2 linked regions of the Styela clava genome follow. The protein of the gene in region 1 purifies or fractionates together with the protein of each later gene. This does not show direct contact. Links are inferred from orthologs where the notes say so. Each region holds a gene or a part of one and is shown in the gene's direction. Other genes may lie near its edges.

What was found.
Region 2: the proteins of developmentally-regulated GTP-binding protein 1-like (region 1) and N-terminal Xaa-Pro-Lys N-methyltransferase 1-A-like purify together in Homo sapiens (affinity purification with mass spectrometry; 3 studies listed by BioGRID and IntAct, counting the BioPlex papers as one, with this or other methods). This does not show direct contact. The link is inferred for Styela clava from reciprocal best matches to the Homo sapiens genes DRG1 and NTMT1.

Annotation. Positions count from the first base shown.
Region 1 is NC_135252.1:4,172,897-4,180,895, forward strand, and holds the start of developmentally-regulated GTP-binding protein 1-like, read left to right. Parts: upstream 1-4,844; 5' UTR 4,845-4,999; coding exon 5,000-5,038; intron 5,039-6,149; coding exon 6,150-6,273; intron 6,274-7,999. UniProt on the Homo sapiens protein: Catalyzes the conversion of GTP to GDP through hydrolysis of the gamma-phosphate bond in GTP. Appears to have an intrinsic GTPase activity that is stimulated by ZC3H15/DFRP1 binding likely by increasing the affinity for the potassium ions.
Region 2 is NC_135257.1:16,046,727-16,054,527, forward strand, and holds the start of N-terminal Xaa-Pro-Lys N-methyltransferase 1-A-like, read left to right. Parts: upstream 1-4,578; 5' UTR 4,579-4,738; coding exon 4,739-4,912; intron 4,913-6,381; coding exon 6,382-6,637; intron 6,638-7,413; coding exon 7,414-7,682; 3' UTR 7,683-7,801. Other genes in the region: WD repeat-containing protein 44-like, read left to right, coding at 342-449, 822-932, 1,073-1,180, 1,401-1,510, 2,040-2,173, 2,575-2,786. UniProt on the Homo sapiens protein: Distributive alpha-N-methyltransferase that methylates the N-terminus of target proteins containing the N-terminal motif [Ala/Gly/Pro/Ser]-Pro-Lys when the initiator Met is cleaved.

The DNA of each region.
Region 1 (7,999 bases):
CGCCACCTCATATAGTATGACGACGTTTACCAGAAGAGACCATGATGTAACAAATCGCATACAATAAAAGGGCAGAGTAGCGCGTGCATTGCATTTGCTAAACTGTATCGCCGACGATGACGAAACAATGTACAAACTAGCGAAGACGGCATACTAAGCATAGCTCTTGTCCTGTAAACTATGACACTTTTAATTTAATTTCGCAGTGGTGATAATACGAACCTAAAGTTCACTTGATATCTAATATATATATTAGTTAGCGTAGATTCGAAACGTCGGATTTCCGCAAATCCTAATTTGATATCCGTGCGAGATTTTAGTATCAAAAATCCGCTGGTATTTCTTTTAGCTAGTTATTGTCAATTGCGATCTTCGCACCTGACGCACGTCCTTCCTGACTCCTTTGTTTTGCTGGGTAGTATTTTATTCTATGGAGTGCATAGAACCTCACGTTTCACTCTAACAAGTTCTACGGCCTCTTGCCATGTCAGCATGCATATATATTACTAATACTCTGAAACGATATAATGCGTAATCCAAGCACGACCTAGCCAATACAACGCTATATTCGTATTGCGACATAAGCACAACATAAACAAATGTCTTTCCTTCATTACGCGCCATTCATGCATTTATCGTCAAAAATCAGTGCAATGTGGTGCGGAAGAACGCCTCCCACACAGTAATTATCACACGGCATCAGATATTTTTCAATATCTAATTACTTGAAGCCACACCAGAAGAACCCAATACCGAATGGTATGCCGGTATCATGATTAAATAAGCCCCGCTTCAAATCATATTGTATACACAATCGCAACAACTTGCACTTTTCGCTAGTCTATATTCGACTATTCAAATACAGTTGTAAAATGTATTGAGACAGTGATATCTGCGGTACAAAAAGCAAATATATTCACATTTTCGAAGCATCAACGACTATCTGCGCCTGGTAATGCTACTTTGATGTAGTTAATAACAGTATTTAATTTTCCCCCACCTCGTCAGTGCCACCTAAAACGAAAGACGAAAGATCTTTGAAACATTGAACAATTATATTAGATTATAACCATTGTATTATATCCATATATATAAGTTGACGTAAAACGGTAAAACTTGAATTGTTTTGAATTTATACAGCTACAGGAAACGAACACCTCTTACACAACACCACACTTCCTAAATGGTCTCTGTCTAACATACAGTTTCCATTCAAAACAAAGTATCTCCTCTGTCGTAACTCTATCTTTTTAAAACGAGTTTGATATACGGACAGCCAAGTTTTCTTTGAAAACGATATGCCATAAAACATCTTTATTTTTAGAATATAAAATGACAAAACGGAGGTTCATTTTGTATCCAGTCATTAAACACCAAATTCATTTTACTTGCTTCTTACGATATAATCTAATAGTACTGATTGTAACTGAACCTATAGTTAATGACTATCGAAAACTAGTAGCAAGCTTGCCTACATTAAAGGAAATAGCTGTGATTCCCGTGAGTGGACCAAACATACGTTCGATCCGTGTTCAATGCTATACGTGACTTTAAACTACCTCTGTGCTCTGATCCTTTTTCAATTAGACATCACTGTATCATGATCTCTTTTTAGTCATATGCACTGTGTTGAAGTTGATGCTCTCTGAAATCCCCCTACTTCACATACGAATGTATACAATACATAATCGTATATATATATGATTGGGTTAGTTATACAAAATAAACATATTAACTAATCAATAAAACATTATTAGTGACAATAGGTGACCGTACATTTGAGCCCACGTACATTCGAACCCTCGTGTATATCCGCGGGTTCAATCTATGTGCGGGTGCTAAAACCCACGAGTTAGGGTTTGTATGGGTTCAAATATCCGTGAAACAAAAAAAAAATTCAATGGTGCAATAGTATGCAAGTGCATAGGTGACAATCACCTACTACAAACTACAGTTGTGGTAAATCAAGAACTTAGCGGTAAATAAAACGTTTTAAAACATTGCGCGACTGATCGTCAATAGAAATAAAAGATGTCAAATTGAAAAGATCTGCATCATTGCAGTGATTTAACGCTCGCTAAAGGTTGTCTCGATGTTCAAATTTGTATTACCTTTAAAATCGTGATTATGGGTAACTTCTAAGAGTGTGTTATGTATTCATAGCTAAGGTAGTAATAGCCTACAACAGTGACAATCCATCAATTTATTTTCCAAAGAATAGCTAACGTCGCACACGTTAAAATATTTTACTCAGCAAAGGTCACTGATGAGTAAGCACGCTACGAAAGGTCACTGTCGACAGCAACGGCGAAATGCACATCCCTTATAGTTATACTTTAAATATGCTGAAATAGTTTACCTAACTAAGACGTACCGGAAAAAAGGAGGGTATGAGGAAATGCTAATATATAAAATAACGTTCCCTATACTATCAGAATGACCAATAGTTAAATAGTTTACTGATTTTTCCAGTATTAACCCAAAACGTTTCTCTTGTTATTACCATACTAACCACACACGTCTCTACTCTCTTTCTATGTCCCGTGTGGTCTTCACTCACGGCCATTATCCGCTGACTTCAATAGTGCATTGTAATTTCGTATATCTATCATAGATTGCACTCTGGACAGCACTTCCTCTTTAAACCTTGTTTCTAGTGTCATGTTCTGTTTATTGTATAACCTCAATCTATCTAGCACTCATACATCGATTCTTGTTACGTATGACTAAGCACAGTTGCATGGATGAATTAAACAGCTCACCATTCGAATTTACGGCGTGGTCTGATTCACTCTACTACTTCCGGTCGACTTCTGGCGCCTTCCATTTTATCCTATTATACAAGTTATGTGCAAGTTCTTGAGATGTATCGATACAAATTTTGCCGATGTTTTACCGATTTTTCGGAAATCGGGAAATGCCGAATTTTTAAGTATAAAGGATAAAAACAGACGATATTTTCAAATAAGTTTAGAAATGTCGGTCGGTAAAATTACTAATGCAATGCATGTATTACCAAAACGAACGATGTGCCAATATACCGGCACATATCTGACCCACAGCATGACCAAAACTCAATATGAAATGTAACAGCAAAGGTCAGATCGGAAAAATATATTTTTGCAGTACTAGATTTTGTGGCAGTTTATGCATTAAAATCGATTGAACGAACATTTGTTTGGATAATCAGCTAAACATGGAGTTTTTTTTATTTTTCATTTCTCAGTCAAACGTTATATTTTCAATTTTAAGTTCGTACAAAGATGAGGCGGACTTCAACAGGACAGTATCATCTTCAAATAGCGATGAACAGAAAGTATATGCAGCTGGAAAATCATTCGTATAACATAAAAATAGCAGAGGGCCAATTGTGGAGCCATGTAGAACTCCGCATTTGATGATGCCCATTTCAGATACATATTCGCATTCTGAACATATTGCTGACGACCACGCACATATGACGCCATGAGATTAAGTGTATGCCCTTTAAGCTTTAACACTGTAATGGCGTAATTTATTAAGAAAGATTAAGTGGTTAATCGTATCAAATGTTTCCTCAATGTCCAAACAAATTGCGCAGGTGATCTCGTTGTTTGCACTGTTATTCAATATCATTTCCTTAAGCTTAGATATACCTACCCGTAGTTCAATTGAATAACTGTTTTTTAAACCAAACTGGGACAGATTTAAAGCGCTGTTTTTCTCAAAATAAAAAACTTTGATTCGACTATATAAAATATCCTCATACATTTTCACAACTTTCGACAGTGAAGAAATAGGCGCGTCGCTGTGACTCATCGTGCCAAGCGTTAGGAATACGCACGCCACCGTACCTCTGATTACTCTGCGTGGGTTCGCAGTTTCGTATCCCATACGGGGAGGGTTAGTGCGAGATGAATGTTAGACTTTTCGCCGCCGTGGGGTGGTTCACGTAACCGCTGGTCGGTTACGGCTTCCTCCACCATCAAGCCCATACTTCCGAAAACAAATAACTAACTAATCCCATACTCGACATGGAATGGTAACCGGACGAGAGACGAAATAATAGGTATGTTATCTTAAGCCGTCTAATCATTTTTATGAAGTGGCACCACCTTTGCTATTATTTAAATCTCTGGGTACACACTTGCATGGAAAATTTGATTAAAAATTGGGAAAAAATAGGTGACAAAACAAATTTGGCAATTTCGAATTTTTTACAGGTATTTCATTGCTACCGGCATCTTTACTTTCATTCAATTTATCAATTTGCCGTTATCCACTATAATATGTGATGGTAATTTGATTTTCTTTGATGAAGTGCCAATTATTATGAGTATTTGATTTCATGTTTTAGCAATGTAGTTTTGGTAGCGAGAAAAGACGTTTTTTATAACCATGTTTGTTCGTATGTATATATATGAAAAATGCTATCCTTAAATCCTGATGAGCTAGCACCATGTCATAGTCATAGTCAAGTTTATTTTTTCCCATTCAGTAAAAAAATAACATACGAAATTAACAAAATACGAAACTGAAAACACATTTTTACTGGGGAAGGGAAGTCGCGGGGAACCAGGAATGGTTATCGAGCAGCGACACCCGGCAACCGCCGAGCTACTTGACTACGGAAAATTTAAAAGCAGGTTAAAGATTACCTTACCGCGGTTTATACAACAATATTAACAACCAATATTCAAAAGCCCTAATTCACTTTGAGTCGAATAAAGCATAGAGTGGATATAAAAAATAAGTTGAAATTGCAGCTCGTGACGCCCAGATACCATTTTGAGGCACCTGAAAATTTGTAGTGGCAGATACCGCGGCGTGCTTTGTTCTCGAGAATGGTGTGGTGCCACAGTGCCACACATGCTAGGTTCAAAGGCTAGGTTGGTGTGTTACTTCTCTTCCATGCGAGCCGGGCTTCGTAATCAGTAATTTATTTTTCCACCAATACTGAAAACTTCAGAACTTCCGTTTTTACTTAATTTTTGCATCGCTTGCGTCATCCGTATAGATAATGTCTATCCTACAAAAAATTGCAGATATAGAGTCGGAGGTGAGTGAGTATTCCAGTATGTATGAAATGTATGTATGAAAACCTAAAACGTCCAGAAGAAATTGAAATTTCGTGTAGTTTCGTACCCCAAGTGCGGTACCGGTGCATCTGGCGCATAGTGGGTGTAACGATGTCAATCCTAACCCCAGAACCCCCATGTTATGCTACGCCCACTAGAAGTACCTGAGGTACGAAACTACACGCAGGGGGCTGCACCACCCACATGTTTTGTGTCATTGTCCTATCAGTTGTTTTATGGGGTTTCAACAAAATTGCACAAAAGTTACACACAAGACTTAGAACTTAGTGGATATAAAATATATAGTAAAATATAGCGTGACACTACAGGGCGGCAAGACACACAAGAATTAGAACTTAGTGGATGTAAAATATATAGTAAAATATAGCGTGACACTACAGGGCGGCAAGTCCACCCTGCGTTAATGCTTCGTTGTGTTGTAAATTGTTGCGATAGTACAGCCGGAGCCCATAATATTTTCTGTTGCAGTAGTTCAGTAGTTGAAGGACGCGTCTACTGCTATATGTGATGCTAAAGTTACTTAATGTAACACTGTAGATCCATGCTGGTAATGTGCTCTACGGGACATTTTTTCACTCCGGAACCGCAGCCTCTAACATCTCTTAAAATTTTGGTAATAAATCTTTAAATAGGAGAAAACATGACCTACAGCACTGCAAACTCTTAAGTCTTATCAACTTAAGTTCAGTACGTCTATTTGAAATGAAATAACTGTAGGCCTACCAGATAATTAAACGCTTCGTGTTATGAGTCATCACAAAACATGTCGATTATATCAAAATTTCTACATTTCAGGCCACTTTGTGTAAATCATCAAAAACCTGAGGGAAATTCTGACTTTTGCGGTGAAATGAACGCAGTCCAATAAAATTCAAGTGTCCTTAGATATAAAAAATACAAAACAATTACTTTCCCTACACTTTTGAAAAAATGGATGAAATTCAACAGTTGCTGAGTATGGCCCATATACTGCTATGCAATCAATTCTTAGGCATGTTTAAAACATCAGTACATACAGACAATCAAGATTGTTTTTTAATACTGCAATAGCCTCTGTTTTTACATTGCTAGATGGCAAGAACACAGAAGAACAAGGCAACTGCTGGGCATCTTGGACTTCTCAAGGCCAAACTCGCAAAGCTTCGAAGAGAGTTAATCACACCAAAAGGAGGAAGTGGAGGAGGAACAGGGGAAGGTAATTTCATTCATAAGCAACCTACTGACCTAACGTGATATAAATGTAATTTCGAAAGTCGCCTCTAATAGAATTTCATAAAAACTGAAATAAGATTCAAAGGGTCTTGATGATTACTGAAAGAGTTATGTATATTTTTAGTAAAAGTGAAAATCAACTTGATTTCAACCTCTGGATTATTCGAAAAAGCAGAAAGAGGATGGGCGGTCATGGTTGTTAATAATCATTGGTTCGTGTATATTACAAACACATATGTACGTGATCAATAACCTATATCAGTGGTTTTCAATGGTTTTGGTGGAGTGGAACCCAACTGAATCATTCCAGAGACTTGAGAAACCCTTGTGTAATCCTTAAATTGCAACTTTAATAATAGCGGTAAACCTAATATGTAGGATATATGAATATATTTGAAAACCAAATATAGATTCTCTGATTTGAATATAAACTTTTCGAAACCATGAACTGTGCTGCCTGGAACCCTGGTTGTGAACTACTGATCTAGAGCAGGGGTTCTCAAACTTTTGGTGTTGCGGAGCCCTTGGAAAGGTTGACTATTATTCACGGAGCCCCAAAATAAATGTTAAAGTTCTTACTTTCAGATTAATATTCCTGAGCAAGTTAAAGGTACTTTACTTAATTTAAATGCTGAACCTTAGAGTTAATACAAGTCATACATAAATCTAAATTTGAAACATAAATTATATATACACTAAAGCTGTAAATTTGACACTTGACAAACATATTGATAAATAAGGGGTCGAATCTTTTCCCTTTTGACATTTTTGGAAGACTTAAAAGGCCGCTAATAACATGCGCAATTGCATTTTGTTACAATCGCCAATTTTTTTCGTCAGCATGGCGTGTCTTTGAACCTTTTAACATCTTTACGCCGGTGTTTATTCTCCCTAAATCAAAAATTTCCCTCGGCATATATATACATGTATAGTTACACAATGACGACGTTATTCGCTTTTTTGTTCTCGTGGGGAATTATGAGTTCAATGTGAAAAACATGTTACCATATTATAGTCATCGTTACGAAATGCTAAAAATAATAATTAATAAAGAGATAAATCCGCAACTCAAATTTCTTGATTGAAAAGCGGCATTCTAAAATAATAAAACTAAAACTTAAAATGGAAGATCACAGGTTTGGTTTCAGCAGACTCACCTCAGATTGAAAATGTATTTATAGACATTGTAAATCACAAAAATTGGTGTTATGTTAGGTTTTCATCGTAGTAACTGCGAAATCGAAAAAGAGTCAATTGTGCGCGCGTGCGTACCTTTTCCCCCATTATGAAACTACCGACGGAGCCGCACGCAATCAATTGTGCGCGCTCCGCGATGTACCTTTTTTTCATTCTGAAACTACCGACGGAGCCGAATGCAATAAAATAAATTTCAATTGTTCGTTAAATGCTCGCATCGGTCATGGATTAAATATTTTACGCAATAGAAATCTCGTTATCCGTTTTTTTTTAATCGCGAAGAATGTTGCGCGGAAATTTCCGATTCCAATTTTGAACCACCACCCTCTTAAGAATCCTGGCTGCGCTCCTGCTTATAAATAATGTAATTTTTTAATTCCGCCTCTTTGCCATATTTCGAGGCTATTTCGTTGTCAGATTTTATCAAAGCTGTTATTGCTTCTTATTAGAACAGTTACAAAACTAGTCAGTATTTTGAAAAGTAATCCAATAGCTCGCGGAGCCCCTGGGTT
Region 2 (7,801 bases), on another chromosome or scaffold:
TTTATGGCGTTCCTTATAACTAGGGGCTCTCCATGGTCTGTAAAATACCGAACTTTATTGTTGATTGAGTTTGTATTTAACACGACGAAAAGGTGAAGGTTCGCATGATGGGTCATAAGATTTTGGTTCAAGCTATAGCCCTCACCAGGTTGTTGTCATTTTGGTATGCTATTGACCCTTCTGATACTATGACAGCTTGTTCAGACAGAGCCTCCATCAAAAATTTCATTGGGTAATGAGTTTGTCGTAATTGCTTTGTCATTGTTTATATAAACTGTCGAATAATTTTGTTGCAGCAGGGTTTTTGCCTGTCTGATAATATATTGTATTGTTTTTTTCAGGATGACAGGTATTTTCTGAGTGGTTCATTAGACAGCAAACTAAGGTTATGGAATATACCAGACAAGAAAGTAGCACTGTGGAATGAAGTATCTCCTGATGGATCATCAGTATGTTAAAATTGAATTATAAACATTGTTTTCTACCTTTCTAAATCTGGATGTCCTTTGAAGCGTTTTTAAGATTAATGATTTTCATTCGCGAGTTGTGCATCTTGCTCGTCATCATCAATTTTTTCATTATCTGTCAGACATTTTATGTATGTAACTATGTGCATGAAAGGTGTGTAACTCTTGCCCATGCTTGGCACCGTATGTTGAAAATCTTGAGTTTATAAATGAAATTTTGACAGTGTCTGTTTTCGAAAAAATACATCTGTTTAACATAGTATGCACTATTTAACAGTTTTATTTATTATCTCGATAGCAAGTTAAGGTTTTTTATCATTATATGAGTTTTTCTGAAAGTATTAATATTTTTAGTCATCAGGCTCTGTTGGAGGAGCATTGATCACAACAGTTAATTTTTGTGAAAATGGTAAATTTGCCGTATGCGGAACTTATGATGGAAGATGCATATTTTTTGATACAGAGGTGAGTTGTATGTTTCATTGCCTTTGACAATATTTCACTTTCCTTATTGCTATGTTCAGTTGATGTTAGAAATGGATAATGATTGCACTATGATAATGATGTGTAGAAGGGAATTAATTTATTCCTTTTTTGTCATCTAGCACTTGAAATATCACACACAAATCCATGTTCGGTCATCCAGAGGTCGAAATACGAAAGGTCACAAAATTACAGGAATAGAACCGTTGCAAGGAGAACATAAAATTTTGGTAAGAATAAGAACCCATTTCTTGTATTTGGTGCTGTTAGATTCGTGATAAGTTTTAGTCAACTCATATTTGAATTTCTTTTGAAAATAAATGTTTTTTCCTCATAATGAAACCATGCTCTGCCCTTTTTCAAAGTTCCTCATCTCAGAGAATATTATCTGCAAAGGCTAAAAAATATTTAGATACACTGGATAAAATATATTTTTGACTATCATTTTAGGTAACGTCAAATGATTCTCGAGTACGTCTATATGATTTGAGAGATTTGTCATTAGTTTGTAAATACAAAGGACACACAAATCTTAGCAGTCAAATTAAAGCCAGTTTCAGGTTTGTTTTTTATTATATTTGAATTATGCATATTTGTATAATATTCTGCACTCGGTTAGGCTGGTTTGGTTAAAAATGACAACTTCTTTATTAGTTGTTAGCTCAGAACATGGATTGGTTGTTGCCAAACTAACATCGTCTGTCTGTATCTCAATGATTATGTTAAGCGCTGTCCAATTTATAGTCATCTTGAGGTGTTGATCGTTTCTATGTATGGAATTATTACTCTTTATTGCCTTTATTCTTTGAGGCAAATTATTGATGAAAAAAGTTTCATAATTTTATGGTTTCTCATGTATGTTAGTATCAAAATTATGGGGTATTTTCTACAAAATGTTGGCATTTATCTCTTTGAGGAATTAGACATCATTATTTTGAATTCAACTCATGTGAAATTTTCAGACAGATTATTTTTTTTTTTTAAATATTAGTGTGGTATTGAAGTGTTGGTATATTTGAAAAGCCTGGAATTCCTTTATAATGGAATTTGTAGGCTCAATTCAACCAAGTTGTTGTTTTGTTATTTTAGTCCTGATTCAAAGTACATCATCTGTGGATCAGAAGATAAATGTGTGTACATGTGGAGAACCAGTTTACCACAGGATGTAACTAAACTATCATCACTGCGAAGAGATCGTAATGACTCCTGGGAAAGTATGAAAGGTATCGAATGAAATAAAATCGCTTTCCAAAACAGTGCTTACATGTTTCTATCACAGTTATATAATCAGAGATATAATCAGGCTCACATCAGAATATGAGCATTACAACCCACTTGCAACTGAATGTCTGATAATTTAGTTGTGAATTATGGGATCTAATTTCATAGGGAGGGAAAGGATTGCCAACATTTGCTGTCCAGGTACAGCTAACTTTTACCGATTAGCTTTTTTCCATATCCAAACTGGGCAGGAGGCTGCAGTTTTCTTTATGACATGGTTGTTCTTATCGTCTTTGCCTTCATCATGATAATAATAACATTGACTTGATATACCATATTTAAATCTATTAAAGCATTTCTTTCTCCAATGAATATACAAATGTAACCTTATTTTTCATTGCAGCTCATGATGCGGTCGTCACTTGTTCCGTCTTTGCTCCTCATCCACAGCTTTTATACAAAAACGACGATACTGATAATAATACAGAGACAAAAACCAAATCAAAACCGCAATCTATTTTATCTTTATCTTCCAAAAAACATCCGCAAGAAGTCAACGTAATTGTATCTGCTGATTTTAATGGTTGCATAAAAGTAATAGTCAGTGGACAATGATGAAGAGTTACTGTGTTTCATTTCATTTTGCTGATTTTACATATGCTTCACAAATTTTCAATGTGGAATTGAGTACTGTCCATGTTTATCTGTTCGAAATTTAGAAAAAAGTCGCAAAATAATGTTGCAGTCCTGTAATTGAATGACAAAAAGAAATCATGTATGTAACTATCAAGTCCTCTGAATGATTATACAATCAGTTACAGCTCATCTGATTGCAGTGCAATAAGTGAATAGGCAGGATGCATTCAATGCTAGGCACGTAACCCACGGAGTGGTGGTTATCATAATCTGTGGTCGCCTTCTCTTTTATAAAAATATTTTATTTTGCTTTTAAACGCATTTACATAATTTATTTATGCGCCATGTTTAACGGAAGTGAAAGAATATATGTATTGCAGTCGAAGAAATAAATGAATCTTCGCTTCAAATTATGTAGTCATGAATGGTATATATGAGAAGGCTTTTGCTTGTGGCCTCAGATAACCTCTCTGTGCTGAGTGTGCTCCCTGGTGGAGCCGAAGGCACAGTTTGAGAAACTCTGCTTCAATAACCACAGAGAGTTTAGCGGTCTCACCTAATTTTTCTACTTCTCCCTTGATTGCAAATTAAAAAGGATTGATTTTTGTGTTGGCCCTATAATTTTTGACTCTATGATTCAGTCCTATACGTACTTGTTTTTTTTAGTATGTTTTCATTTTGCTGAAATTCTGAGAGCAAAGCACTAAACATTTTTGTGCATTTTAGACATATTAGATGTATGGCTTTAACACAGCGTGCAATATAGTAATGTCTTATATTCCTGATGTTTATGTAGCTTTCGGGAGACTTTATTTGTGAGAGAAATATAACAGCAACGAGACAGTTTATAAGTTATACGTTGAAAATGCCAATCGAGTGTTGACAAGTTTTCTGCTATTTGTATACTGTTTTACTTTTTAGTTTGTCACTTCCCGTTTCATAATAATGAAATTTAATGCAGTACTCTAGTGGTTCTAGTCCTTCCATTGTTGTTTTTCTTGGCAAATAAAGATTTTCTGAATTATTCATGTGTCTTTCATCTACCTTCCTGAATTGCTTGGATCTTCATTATCTTGATCGTAGATCATTTTTTAGAGCACCAAGCATTTCTAAACATTCGGATGATGCTGCGTACCAAGAGGTTTCCTCGAAAATAGGATAACTCTCTAACAGCAACCCATAAAATGCCAGTAGCTGTGCGCTAAAATATGCAACATTAGGAGTAGAAATTTTGTCTTTTGAAATGAAAGTACAATACAGTAGGTAAATATAAAAATAGGTGTGTTTAACCAATTCAGTTCTGTTTTTTTTAAATTATCGGACGTTAGAGATAGAAATATTTTCAAAATGATAAAAGTAATCCGCATTTCTCCGTGAAAATTACGATTTTGTCTCGTTTTTTCGTTTAATATCGACACATTAACAGTTGAAATATTTAAAAGTACCGTTCATTAAATTAAACCTATCTTTAGAGCGTAGAAAATCCATATTAGTTTGAAAGATATAAAGCAAAAACTATCGATATTTAACGAATGCCGTTATAAGGGGCGTTCTAAAAAATTTAGTTCCAATATGAGTATTGAAGTTTTGGTGAAGCCCTACCTAAGCGTTTAACAACTGATACTTTTCAACAGGTCTGAAGTTGCGCTGAAATGCTTCCTAAATGATTAACGACTGATGCTTTTTAACAGCATTGAAGTTACAGCAAAATGCTGCTTAAACTGTTAACTTCTGGCGCTTTTAAACAGTACTGAAGTTATTCGAACCATTTTATAAGCCTTGTTAATGTACCCCGAATGTAATATTTTGAAAGTGAACACTGCTAGGAATTGTGGTTACAAAACTTCAAGGTGATTCCGCTGACTTCACGCGGTGGTGGTGTGCGTGGCGGAAACGGCTGTCAAAACGTTGGTTGCAATGACCGGTGAGAGATGGACTTGATCAAAGGATGTAAGGAGGTATCTTCAGAAAAAAGCTTTTACGAGGAAGCTGACAAATACTGGAAAACAATAACACCTACCCTGGATGGAATGCTTGGAGGCTATAGCCATATCTCAACTTCTGATGCTCTTGGTTCTAGAAAATTTTTAAGAGAATTTCTACAGGTTTGCTTGTACTGACTCATATTTTGAAGGAGGTTATCACTCGCTACCAGTAGAAATCACTTGTTTTTAGCTTTTTGCTATTTTTATAACTAATAAATTAGCCAATAGAAAAACAAAATACGATGTCAAGATCTGGGGTCTAGTACAGGGGTCTCGTGTAGTTTCGTACCTAACATACTTTTAGTGGGCGTAGCATGACAATTTTCTCACGTATCAATCCTAACCCCCACCTGACTACACCATCCAAAAATTACGTCAACACGACGTTACAGTGACGTAATAGAGCCCTTCAAACTATACGAACTGCCATCCAAGACGCGCAAACGAGCACCCGAAATCGAACAGTTATTCCTCTCGTTTTCTCGTCGCGGCGATTCCAATAGGAAAGAGATCTATAACGTCAGTCAGTTCTTTATCGCAGGCGCCAATGCCATTTCGGGCGATTGTACGTGTATTTGGCAAGCTCTATGACGTGATTGGGATGTCGTAGTGACGTAATTGGATGGCGTAGTCAGATCGGGGTTAGGATTGACATATCAAAAAATTGTTATGCTAGCCCACTAGAAGTACGTTAGGTACGAAACTACACGAGACCCTAGTATAGTTTAGTACCACAAGTACTTCCAGTGGGCGTAGCATAACGAATTTTGCATATGTTATTCCTATCCCCACTTGACTATGCCATCCGAAAATTACGTCATTCATTACGCCGGCACCACTTCATAGGCCTTTGCCAAAGTATAATTATGATCGCCCGAAATGGCATCTGCACCGCAGTTAAAGAACTTGCTAATGCCGGCGATCTCTCTCTCCTATCGTGATCGTTGTGACAAGAAAACGAGAGAAATAGCTTGCTCGATTTCCGGTGATCGTCTGCGCGCTTTGCACGACCATCTGCATACTTTAGTGGGCCTTGTTACGCCACTGTGACGTTGGAATGACGTAATTTTTCGGTGACGTAGTCAGGTGGGGGTTAGGATTGACATATGCAAAAATTGTTGAGCCAGGCCGACTGGAAGTGCATGTGGTACTAAACTGTACCAGACCCAAGATGTGTTCAGTATAACTTAATAATTTATTTTGAGGATTATTATAGCCACTAAAAAATATAATTTTTAATTTATTTCACAGTTTATTGCTTTAAAATGTAAGCCCTTCAATTAACACAGGCATGACAGCAATTTTTGCTATTATTACAGTAAGACTATTCTCACATTATTAAATGGATGAATGGATAATAATACCCAACCGATGAGATTCTATTTTTTTCAACGATGATTGCTCTTGTTCCCTTATTGTGTTGGAAAAAATTCAACATTATAAAAAAGATGGTAACAATCGTCTGCTTTTATAATTTTATATAAAAAAAAAATTTAGCATGTAGTATGGAAATTTCATTCATCTAGAGGAGGAATCAAGTATTGGTAATCATTTACCACCATATATTCAAGTATAGTATATTTGTTCAGGGTTCAAATCCGCGATTACGTCATAAGAGAGCATTAGATTGTGGAGCAGGAATTGGAAGAGTATCCAAATTATTTCTTTTGCACATTTTTGACACTGTCGACCTTCTGGAACAAAATGGTGAATTTCTCAAGCAAGCACCGAGTTATTTAGGACCTGAATTGTCGAAGAAAGTGGGAGAATATATCTGTGCTGGATTACAGGATGTAAATTTGAAGCCAAATTTTTATGATTTAATCTGGGTGCAATGGGTAACAGGTGCGTTTTCAAGAAGTAGTTTGTATTATAATCTGTTTTCTAGAAAGATATTTTTTCATATTTTCTTTGGATTCTGTGGGCCATGTTGTTTATCCAGAATTTTGCTAATTTTAAATCAAAAATTGTGACACGGTTTTTTTGCTAAACACGTTTACCTGTTGGTTGTCTACCAGTAACAGAAACTTTGTTTTCCACATATTCGTTAATTGTTCCCAGCATTATCATTGTAACACACCACATATACAGAATTTTGCTAATTTTAAATCAAAAATTGTGACACGTTTTTTTTGCTAAACATGTTTACCTGTTGGTTGTCTACCAGTAACAGAAACTTTGTTTTCCACATATTCGTTAATTGTTCCCAGCATTATCATTGTAACACACCACATATACAGAATTTTGCTAATTTTAAATCAAAAATTGTGACACGTTTTTTTTGCTAAACATGTTTACCTGTTGGTTGTCTACCGTAAACAGAAACTTTGTTTTCCACTTATTTGTTAATTGCTCCCAGCATTATCATTGTAACACACCACAGTTCAATATTTCACATCATGCTCAATCCAAGCCTGTTGTTTAACAGCAACTGTTTGCTGATATTGACCACTTTTCAAATAGAATTTTAAATGTTACAAAACGACATGTTTTTTAAATTTTATTTTTATCTTTCTATTAGTTCTAGCCTCTCATATTCAACACTTGTCTTGAAAACTTCACTTAATAGCAGCCTTTATACGAAAACTATGTACCGTAAATTCTTTTTTTTATTTATGCAGGACATTTGACGGATGCTCACTTTATAGAATTTTTACGCAAATGCCAGAATGCACTTTTGCCTGGTGGTCTGCTAATATTGAAAGACAATATCTCATCAGGTGATGTGGAATGGGATAAAGTTGATAGCAGTGTCACAAGAACACATGCACAACTACGAGGGATATTCAAACAAGCAGGAATGAAGATTGTAAAAGAAGAACATCAGACTAACTTTCCAGCAGAATTATATAAGGTTTTTATGTTTGCATTATCTAAAGAAGATTCATGACACAGTTTTTGGACTTCACCTCATATGCTTTTTATTTGCATACTGTAGCTTTATAGCCTGTTTTTTGGTGGATTTTGCATGTTATAGCTTGATAAATGACAAATACTGATCAAAATGTG